Drosophila melanogaster: one gene and its partner. The protein of the gene in region 2 interacts with the protein of the main gene of each other region in a biochemical or structural test. Each region holds a gene or a part of one and is shown on either strand. Other genes may lie near its edges. The genes, in order: cer and CtsL1.

Region 1 (3,024 bases), 5.4 Mb from region 2:
CAATGATACCACGAGAAAATGGAAACTTTAGCCAGATCAGCAAAAGAAGCATTATATAAAAAAAAGAGAGAGGCCTAAACAAGCAACGGATGAGCAGCTAAAATCGATCGAGATGCATCTAAGGGGAAATCCCCCTCACCCTCCCTTAATTCGCATTCACAGCTTATATCTATTATAATATAATTCTAATTTTTAATTTATACGATGGCCACGGCAACACACCCTCCCCTCCACACACACACACACACAGAGAGAGATAAATGCAATTCACACAACAATTTGTATGATAAACGAGAATGAGGTTTGCAGGTGTACACGCAATATCCGACACCGCCGCTTTGTCCTAAACAAGTAACTTGCAAATATCTTCTAGATGTATTAGCTTATAAAATAACTACGCAACACACCTTACTACATGATGACATGGTAAAGCAAATGAACAGATAAAAAAGGGTACAAATTCCCAGGCAACTCTAACGACAAACAAAGATTTGTTTGAAACAAAGGCAAACTTTTGTTTTTAGACACATACGTACAAGCGTGGTACATGCATAATACTTAAATGCAATATTTTTTTAGAAATGCAATAAATTCGATGACAACAACTACAATTTGATATTCTAGGCATGTGTGTGTTTTGTGAAAGCGCGTTTTATGTTTTTGTGTTCTTTTGTTTTGTTTTTAAATTCCGGGCAGCCACAATTTGCACACAAAACGAATAAATAATTATTGTATACATGCAGCAATTGTATTAGTTTTTTATATAAATAATTATATATTTTTATGTACGTAAAACTGTTTATACATACATATACATATATATATTTATAAAAACCAATAAATTATGAAGAAAACGAAAATCCAAAAATACACCACGCCCGCATTAAAACATGCGATTACTCTGAGGAAAGCAGAAACAACACAATCACTGAGAATGGTTGGAATTTTCCAAAAATTATCTCCAAGAATCAAATTTCAGCATTTCTTTTGTAAGTAGATGTGCTTGATTTGTAATCGCTTTTCCATTTATAATATTCAAATCGATGAATAACGAATACTGCAATTAACTATATACGACTGCCATAGCATGTAAAACTTTAAGGCACAACTTAAACGCATTTACATTTCAAATTAACTGACATAAAATTAAAACCCCGATGATTAATGCCAGATAAATCGAATGTTTCTGCTTTTCCTACCCAAACCCACCACCACATTGAAAACACTCTCTTTACAACATAATACTTGCATTGCTGAGCCTTAGACAAACAAACAAACAAAAAAAAAAAACGGCAAAATATAAAGTATAATTAAACTGATTATTTGCGCAACGACAGAAGCTTATTTCTAGCAACTTTTTTGCGTCATTAAGGCGAAAAAGTCTGTATAATTTTGTCCTTAGATTAACATTAGAAATATGTCAATATTCTCACTCTGTGCAAATAATAAAAAAACTTTTGAAAAAAGCAAACGAGAAGCCGAAAGTTTATTCATAAAATTTGTTTAGAGTGTAAGAAAATGCATATAAATATATATTTAAATTCGTATTATACACAAGAAAAAACACGACACACACGAAGAAGTAAACACGTAATAAATAAAAACTTGAAAATTGTACAAAATTCAAAAGTATTTGAAAAGAGGTTTTTTTTATTTGTATTTATTTTTTGAGTAGTCATTCCAAAAAATGTAACAATGGTTTTGCATTAAATGTTTATAATGTTTGAGAATTTAGCATATGATTTAAATCGAATTTGAATAGTATCCGGTTTTCATAAACGAGGGCCCACTGTTATTTATGTTTGTTTTTCACCGAAGTGGCATCTCTGATCAGCTGCATATATTATCGTTTCTTTGTTGTGTTTATATGTTGTGACTCAGTGCGAAACCGTGATAAAACCTGAGAATTGAAACGAAATTTAGTCGGTCACCAAAATTACAAGTGTCAAGATGTCCCTGGTTTCAGATGAGGAGTGGGTGGAGTACAAGGTAGGCCCAATATGTCCTAGCAAGCGACGCAATATTTAGAAATCACTTGATTCCACCATAGTCCAAGTTCGACAAGAACTACGAGGCAGAGGAGGATCTGATGCGTCGTAGAATCTACGCCGAGTCCAAAGCCCGGATTGAGGAACACAATCGGAAGTTCGAGAAGGGCGAAGTGACTTGGAAAATGGGAATTAATCATTTGGCTGATCTCACGCCTGAGGAATTTGCCCAGCGTTGTGGCAAAAAGGTGCCGCCAAATTAACAGAATCTCAAGTGAATCTCATTTTAAATAGACATTTTGTAAAGACACTAATCTCTCTGTAATTCTATAAATATGCATTTGAATTTTTAAATCTTTATCGTTCAACCACCCCCAAATAAACAATAAATCAGCTGTTTTGTACATTTTAAAGATTTTGGGATTTTTGTGTTCTGGCCACTTTGGCTGGGAGAAAAACAGTTCATTAGGTTTTGGTTCAATGAACGAAGGTTTATTTATCTCTACGATATATGCAAATAAATACGTACGGCTGAGATGGTAAAATTCCATTCCAAAAATATGTATGCTTGTACGCGGTATCTATATACATTTTGAACTTAAAGCGGATTAACGCCTTTCTGCGATGAACTAGTTCCGGTTCAGCGTTCATTGAGCGAGTCAGTGAACCGAACTGCAGTGCCGACGAGCGGCAGTTCACACACAACATTTGAAAGTTTGTAAACTTTTCCTTTTTCGATCACATAGACACATCGATACACGTAGTTATTTGTTTTTATTTTGTACCAACACCAAACACCCCATCTTACAAGCGCGTAAAACCTCGTTTTCGGTCCAATCTCTTGCAGAATCTTGCAGTAGAACCTCACAGCCCAGCCAAACATGTCCGGAATCATGCGTGTGCCATCGATTTTGGCCAAAAATGCAGTCGCCTCCATGGTAAGTAGTCCCCATTTTGGAAGTGAAAACCCAGGCTCCTCTGTGGCAAACGAAATGATTTAAGAGTGGTTATACAACCGGGTCTACACAGAACCCAG
Region 2 (8,074 bases):
GGCCACAGCCTCGGCCATCTTCTTCTCATCACCCTGGGGAATATCGGTGAATCCACGATCGGTGGCTCCGACTGTGCCCTTGTTAAAGTGGCACGAGTCATCGATGGCCTCGTAGGGATAGGACTTCTCGGTATCGATGCCTCCATTATCCTTAATATAGCGGAAGGCATTGTCCATGAGACCGCCGTTGCATCCATTGTTGCCGTACTTGGTGGAGCAATCGACCAGATTCTGCTCGGACAGCGAGACGAGGACACCGGACTTGCGGAAATGCTGACCCTCGAGGGCGCCTGTGCTGGAGAAGGCCCAGCAGCTGCCGCAGTGTCCCTGATCCTTGACGGCGGTCACAGCTCCCTTGGTGCGCCAGTCCACAGATTTGGGCAGCGTCACATGAGCCGGCGAGATGAAGGTGACTCCCTTGAAGCTTTCATCGGCGGCACTGAAAGCGAATGCAAAGTTGAATATGTGCACATTATAATCCTTAACGATCCCAACTTACCGCAGTTGCTTGTGCAGAGTGTAGTTGAAGCCGTTCATCAGCTGACGGAATTCGTGGTGCAGCAAATCGGCGTACTTATTGACCGCCAGTTTGAAGCTCACCTTGCCCTCGGCGAATCGCTGGTTGTGCTTGGCAATCTTGTGCTTGTTCTCATTGAAGATCTTGAGGCGGAAACGCTCCTCGGTTTCATCCTGATAGTTCTTGCGGTGCTCCAGCTGCATAATGAAAAGTATTAGTATTAGTTAGATAATGCACTCTTATCAAAGGTAAGTGCTACTATCGATTGACTTTCGTGTACTTGTTTCAAGATAAGATAAAGCCAACCAAATGAAAAGTTAACTTTTTAGACGCATTTTTGGGAACTCTATTAAAAATCAAATAAAATGTTTTACGTAAAATGGATTTACGATCGCTGAGGCAAAAGTTCTTAATCTGCAGATTACACCTTATCACAGCGCCGTCAACCTGGCACGAGCGAAACGCTCTAGAGGAACGGCCACAGTAGCAAGCTCTATAAATCTATAAAACATGGTCATAAAATTGTGTTTAACGATTGCCCAACGACAGGAACTTGAAACGGGTGTTAATGTTCCAGGTAGTAAACAAACGAGCCAAACTGCAGGTAGGAATAGGAGAAGCGAGGCCAGCACGAGGAAATGCGCTCCATCTGCCTGCAGTGGTCCCGTGGATAAGAGACCTCCTCTCCCAGCTCGGGGTTGTTTGTTAGTCCGACCCGCATATTGACACAGCCACAGCACGAAAATAGCACGAACGCTAAACAAATGATAGCTATAAAGGGAATTGAAAGGCCAGGGCAAGAAGTCGACTAGGTTGCTATCCATTAGATTCGGCAAATGCCACTATATGGGGGTAGTTTTCGATTCAAAGTGAAATTTGTGAATAAAAATTGACTTCCTCTTGTCTGAATACCAAATTAGCGGCTTTGCATAGAATCGAAAAGTTTATGAAAGTTAAGTTAAGTATATAGAATTATTCAACAAAACTCATTATTACTGCTCACGAATATCCAAATAGCAAACATGCTAAACTGAAATGCATTTTCCAAAAGTGTTTATTGCTAAACTGGTTATTTTTTTGCGACTCTTCAACGCACTCAAAGTGGCATGTTTTCTCAGTGAAATATGGGTATAAACCCAAACCTAATCGCTTTTTAAGTGGCTCACCACAAGTCTTAGTAGATTTTGCAATATTCCAGGGTACTTGGCACATTGAACTGAACAGTCGAGTGGCGCTGTCATGTGAGAAACATGCATGTGTAATTACTTTTGGACATCAAAGCGGACCAGCATCAGCAATTGTCGCCCCAAATGGACCGGATGGGGTCCACTGGTCCGTGGTTGACTCCTATAATTGACATAATTGAATCGAATTCGAGTCTTGCAGCAAAATGAAACCCCGCCCGTTGTGATTTCGAGGGAGGAGGTGGTAACGGCAGAAAAGAGGCGCCTCCCGGCACACTGACCTATTGATTTTCCTTGCAAACGTCGTTGGTTCTCGTTGCCGCATGATAAAATTCACACATTTATTGTATACTTTTGTAGAAAATTTGAATTTGCGATATATGCAGATAGAGTTAACAACTTAAAAACACCGTAATTAAATGCACGTGCGATCCGATGTGATATCCAGGCACTCGACGTATACGTTTTGTATCTATCAATCTAGATATACTACATATGTGGCTTAGGAAACTTCGTTGCAGTTGAGAAGCTTGGACGATAGTAGTTGAGTATCAGAGAGCTTAGCTAGTGCGATCTCCATCCCTACAGTCGCTCCATCTCGATGGCACAGCTATCGTCCTCCTGATCCGCATCCGCATGCCGTTCCGTTGTCGAAGTGGCCGCATAGGAGGAATGTGGAACAGGTTGTTGTTGTTGCTGCAGCTCCTCCTCCTGGCATTTGTATTCCCGCCGCTTGCGCATAATGTAGGCGAAAACGAAGCCATTTATGACCAGCATGGCCAGGACAATTATCGTCGGCCAGACCACATCCACCGATACATCCAAATTATTTGCACTGGTATCGGTCATTCTTATGCTGTGATTGCTCCTCCGTGGTTTTTATGTAATTTATTTGCTATTACCGCCCGTCTCCCTGCGATTTCGTAGCACGTTTTTTACGATGACGCGCGTGCTTTTCCGTACTTCTACTACCACCGCTGGGGGCCCCGTCTGACTTGGCTCCTTTTATTTCTTTTCTCTCAAATGTTCTATATATTGCGCTCTGCACTGCTGCTGCTACTGCCTGCCGCTGGCTGCTCGAGCGTTCCGTTGGCGTGGAGCGTCGGTTCGGGAATAACAAAAATACGACAGAGCTGGCTGCTTCGCTTTTGGTGGTGGTGGTGGTGATGGTGGTGGTCCGCTCGCAAACGCAAACTCAATCGCATGACGGCGGGGCGAAAAAGAGCCGAGTTCACACACGCACACAACACACTCTACACTCTTTCTTCGTATCGCCGAAATCGAAATGAGAGCCCAATCTACGTAGGCCAACCAATTTGGAGGATGGCAGGCGGGCGTACTCTATATATTTCTTGTTTCTTATGCTTTTTCGTATATTTCCTTCTGTTTTGCAGCGCGCGCATTGTGGGTTTGCTCAAAAAGGCGAACCGGTTTCATTTTGATTTATAAGGATTTCAGGCGAGCTATTCAAATATGTTTGCTCCAACCGGTTAGCAGAAGTAACAGATTTAAAAAAAAACGAAAAAAAAAACAGAAACTTATGTATCTTTAATAAAAAATGTAAGAAAAGAGCCGCATGCTGCTTTTGCAAGTCAGCGAAATTTTTCCCAGCTTGTTTATTTACGGCAGCCGATTTGTTTGTGCACTTGTCACTCGGGGAATTAATGCTAGAAATCTCTTTCGGCTCTCGGAAATGCCAGCGAAAAATGGCAATTTGATAAGCAACGCCGATTTGTAGCGCGTCATTTCCAAAATGCTCGCGGCCCCCCGCACGACTTGTTCTTAAATATTGTTGTTGAATATTTGCCGAACTATGCGAATAGCTGCTTAAATTAAAACGCATTAATCTGGAATTTTAGAGCTTATCAGTGCCACAGTTGCTCAACGCTGACTTTTGCAGCTGTGCATTTGCAACCGACAACTGTGGCACTTTGGACTGCACACACATTACAGATAATGTCGTTTTTATTAACTAACTATAAGCAGTGAGAGCTAATGGTTGGCATCGTTATCACATTTAAATTGCGCGCCTTTCATTCCCCAAGCAAGCATGGGTAGCACTGTTTGCAGCAGTGTGACCGAGCGTTTGCAGTATTCTACATGACACCTAACGGTCTCGAAATGTAAAATGGCAAATGTAAAGTAATTGTGAGTTTATTTTGAAAAAAAAAAGAAAACTAAATCTAAACTAAATTAGATGATCAAAGAAAATTTAGTTAGGTAAATAATATATGAGTGGGGAAATTGCAAATGTTTAGTTGATTTTCTTTTTATTTTTAATTAAGGATGAGTAACTCTTTCCATAAATATGATTCCTATTCTTTCAGTTGATCAGACTTTGTTATTTATAAACAATAATTTAATACACCACTCTGTGCTTACTCTAACAAATGAGTCACTCAATTGAATATGATATTTAACAGCAGATAAAAAAAGGAAGGGAAATAAAGTTATATGCATATATTGCATATGCGGGTGCATTTGAATTTGAATTCGAAAAGTGAATATAAAACCATCAAAGGCAAAATATCCAAAGTTATTAAACCAATATGCATATATAGAGATGTACATATATCCCCCTTATCACATGAGATCTCTGCACAAACAGCTAATTATTATTTGTACGCCCCCATTTGGGGCTAATGACGCTTGGCACGGAACTATTCAGTAAAATAATGGAAAAAATCACGACCCCTGACTGTTGGCGATAAGAATTAGACGACACTAGGGGCGCATTCAATTAATCAATAGACAATCCACCATTGATAAGCAGACGAAGTTGCAAGTGAAGGCTGCGAGACAAAGGATGATTGGCCCAATCATCAATGGAACCATGGACACACATATATATGCAATAGAAGGGGGCAAAAATCGAAGTCGCATTAGGAAACATGGCTTGCGAAAAGTGTGATGGCAAATATGCGACCCGCGCCTTATCAGTCGGCCGGCAGTGGACCAGTTTGAGTCTTGCACGGCTTATCGGCGGGAAATGAACCGCGAGCGTAGCGAAAGTGGGCGACACAACGACTTGGATTATCTGCCCATCCAGCCGATGTTTACGGATGGGCTAAGCAAAGCAGCCCAGCTTGCCGCTTGCGGTCATGTGAGCCGGCATGTGACTGGACGACAGCCTAGACTTTTGGACTTATCTGAATCCTCCTTCCGTCTCTTTGAGGCAGCCGCGCAGCAGTGCATTCACACTCGCAATGGCTGCTGACTCAGAAGTCAGAAGTGCGGAATCGTCACAAACGGAAGAATGCCGCGCGTCCAACTATGCAAACAAAGTCGGACAGAAGACAAAGGCCCAAAAAAAAAATTAATGGATTAATCATCATTACACATCAAGCCCTTGTTACCGGAGAACACTTGTTATCTGCCTCTTCGGCCTGGCGAATTAAATATGATCCCTAGATGATCCGGTTGAAACTCACCTTGAACGTATGCCATTCCTCCATGACCACGTCGGCGAAGGAAACGGCCTGAGCCACCGCCAGCAGGGCCAAAAGTGGCAGCAAAACAGCTGTGCGCATTGTGATTTGTTCTGGAATCTGCAAGAAATCACACAATTAGTAAGCAAACTAACAATCGGAGTGTCGGTCACGTGAAGCCACTAAACCAGATTGCAAAATATCAGGGCTGGCTCACTAACTTCGAATTAAAGTAAAATACATATTCTAAGCTGCTCGAGCGATAAAGGAAAGTTGTGAATAAAGTCAGTTTCTTGCACTTGTTCATGATTCATACTATTAAATTGTGGTTAATTAGCATAATTTGTGCTATTAAAGTATTAGTTTTATCTTAGCAACTTTGTCATGAGCCTAAGCAATATTTTAATAAATTTCTAACGATCAAAATCACTGCAAAATATTTAATATTTATTGGGTAAAATATGGAATTTATTGCACCAAATTGCAATTTATTGCAAATTTATAATAAAAAAAAGGTTATTAATATTATTTATTTATTTGAGGCTAACTTAATGTATAAAACTATAAGCAATCTGAGATCTAGCAATAGAAGCTTTGTAAATATATTATTTTAATTCTTTATTAAATTCGTAACAGACATGGTTTTGAAAAACTAGTTTTTAAATATATCATTGTAAGCATAGAAAAGAGTGAAAATGAAAGAATAAATAACGGTTCAAATTTGAGAAATTTGATCCTTTAAAGAAGCTTCTCTCGATTTTAGCGTAAAATATTCTCTTTATAGAGACATAAAAATTATTTCTATAAAACTTGACTGATTTGCGGGGCGTTTGTAAATATATTGACATTTGCTTTGTGATAAACAATATAGTTTAATATTTGTTTTTTTTTATTTTTTCGATGGCGATGCGTTATCTTATCGGCCATTCCACTTTGCCTCGCAGCTTCGTATTGCTTTCAAAGTCTGCCATTTTTGCGCGATTTGCTTCACTTATTGTTTTTCTATCATTGTCTTGCTGTTTTTGCGCCCATTTTGAGAAACGTGAGAGGCATTTGATAAAAGTTGTTATTTACCAATTGTGCCCTCTGCGATTTGTGCCTAGTTCGAGGGCGAAAACGGGTTTCAAAAACGCCAAGGTGATTCATCTGGCTATCAGGTGAGTTAAAAACCACAAAGACTAGAAAAATGGGTCAGCACAAAGGGGAATTGGACAAAATCTAAACAAAGAAGCGCAACAGAATCTAAAGCGCAAAGCAAAAGGGGCAATAAAAACGGGCATAGACGAAGATGCCGACTGTTGATTATTGTGGAGTGCAATTAAAGTGTAAATAAGTCGCCACACAGACATGACGCAATTAGATTCAACAAGTCAATACGAAGCAATTAATCGGCATTAATGCAGGGCAGGTATATTTGCGTTCTCAACTCGAAAATAACTAAAAAGACTACATATATTGCTTACCACTCGGAATTGCGTCGCAAGGAATGCAGTAAATTCACTGATTTATCACTGTTGTTGCACTCTTTTTAATTGGCTGAAACAACACTAATGTGCAAGTCAACCGATTGTATTTAACAAGTCGCTCTTGATGATCCAGTCCCAAAGACCTTTCGTTGTTTAATGAAAACCAGCAGAAATTGTTTAAACAAGAAATCTCCGACAGAGTGACCAGTCCGAATCTTCTGGAAATACCAGAAGTTGCCTGAGCAGACGGCTTATCGATAACAGCGTGGGCAGTGATGCAGTTCTTGTGTGTAAAACGGCCAAATTCAGTCGCTAAATCGAAATAATTGGTCAGCCTAAATATATGCAAGAGCTTTTTAGTTTATGTTTATTTAATAATGAGTGTTAAATAACTAAAAACTATACCTCTCTTGTTACTTTTGCAATCGAAAGATTTCTAAGTCACTCAACGAACTCAATTTAAATTATACAACAAATGTCTAAACTGAATTTTGTTCAACAGTGTTTTGAAATACTAAATGTTAGAATTCACCCGTTGATGGTAACACTGCTGAGGTAAGAAGAAGACAAATTTTGCTCGTCATTGGGAATTGACGATTCACTGAATTTTTGATAAACTCAACAAAGTAAACGCATTATATATCCCGTAAGTAGTGCAGCGACTACTAATAACCCCAAACCGATCACGGCACCATAAAACACTTTCGAGTTATGCGCCAAAGAAAGTCGTAATTACAATACGTTCTTCATCCAATCTTCGCCAGCTCTCAAGAAGCACCCGCATCATGTTTGGAAGACAAAGTGGACTGGGTAGTTCCAGCAACAGCAGCAACCTGGTGGAGTTCCGCGCAGGTCGCATGAACATGGTGGGCAAGATGGTGCATCCGGATCCGCGCAAGGGCCTGGTCTACATGACCCAGAGTGACGATGGCCTGATGCACTTCTGCTGGAAGGATCGCACCTCCGGCAAGGTGGAGGACGATCTCATCGTCTTCCCCGATGACTTCGAGTACAAGCGCGTCGATCAGTGCAAGACGGGCCGTGTCTATGTGCTTAAGTTCAAGTCATCGACACGCCGCATGTTCTTCTGGATGCAGGAGCCCAAGACGGACAAGGACGACGAGCAGTGCCGCCGCATCAACGAGCTGCTGAACAACCCTCCATCCGCCCACCAGCGCGGCGGCGGCGGCAGCAACGACGGCGACCTCCAGTACATGCTCAACAACATGTCGCAGCAGCAGCTGATGCAGCTCTTCGGCGGCGTTGGCCAGATGGGTGGTCTCAGCTCGCTGCTGGGCCAAATGAAGTGAGCATTTAAACCCTTGCAGCCATAGTGTCCAAGAACTAGTCAAGTAGATAGCTTCTTAACTTACAGGGTATCGTTTTTATTGTTTATAAGCATGTAATCGAAGGAATGAAGCCAGAACTTGAGTTCACCCCCTTTTTCAATATTTTCCTTTCTATATTCTCCGCAGCTCC

The links.
Region 1: of the proteins of CtsL1 (region 2) and cer, one has a biochemical effect on the other in vitro, tested with the Drosophila melanogaster proteins (one study listed by BioGRID).

Annotation. Positions count from the first base shown.
Region 1 is NT_033778.4:19,395,589-19,398,612, reverse strand, and holds cer (crammer), read left to right. Parts: upstream 1-1,840; 5' UTR 1,841-1,950; coding exon 1,951-1,989; exon of another isoform or gene 1,990-2,050; coding exon 2,051-2,251; 3' UTR 2,252-2,398; downstream 2,399-3,024. Other genes in the region: SdhA (succinate dehydrogenase, subunit A (flavoprotein)), read left to right, coding at 2,870-2,926.
Region 2 is NT_033778.4:13,959,395-13,967,468, reverse strand, and holds the start of CtsL1 (cathepsin L1), read right to left. Parts: upstream 6,289-8,074; 5' UTR 6,276-6,288; coding exon 6,204-6,275; intron 5,250-6,203; coding exon 5,133-5,249; intron 2,817-5,132; exon of another isoform or gene 2,551-2,816; coding exon of another isoform or gene 2,284-2,550; exon of another isoform or gene 1,983-2,283; intron 1,865-1,982; exon of another isoform or gene 1,774-1,864; coding exon of another isoform or gene 1,684-1,773; intron 715-1,683; coding exon 500-714; intron 440-499; coding exon 1-439. Other genes in the region: CG42806 (uncharacterized protein), read right to left, coding at 2,284-2,550; Rpn13 (regulatory particle non-ATPase 13), read left to right, coding at 7,381-7,901, 8,071-8,074. UniProt on the Drosophila melanogaster protein: Important for the overall degradation of proteins in lysosomes. Essential for adult male and female fertility. May play a role in digestion.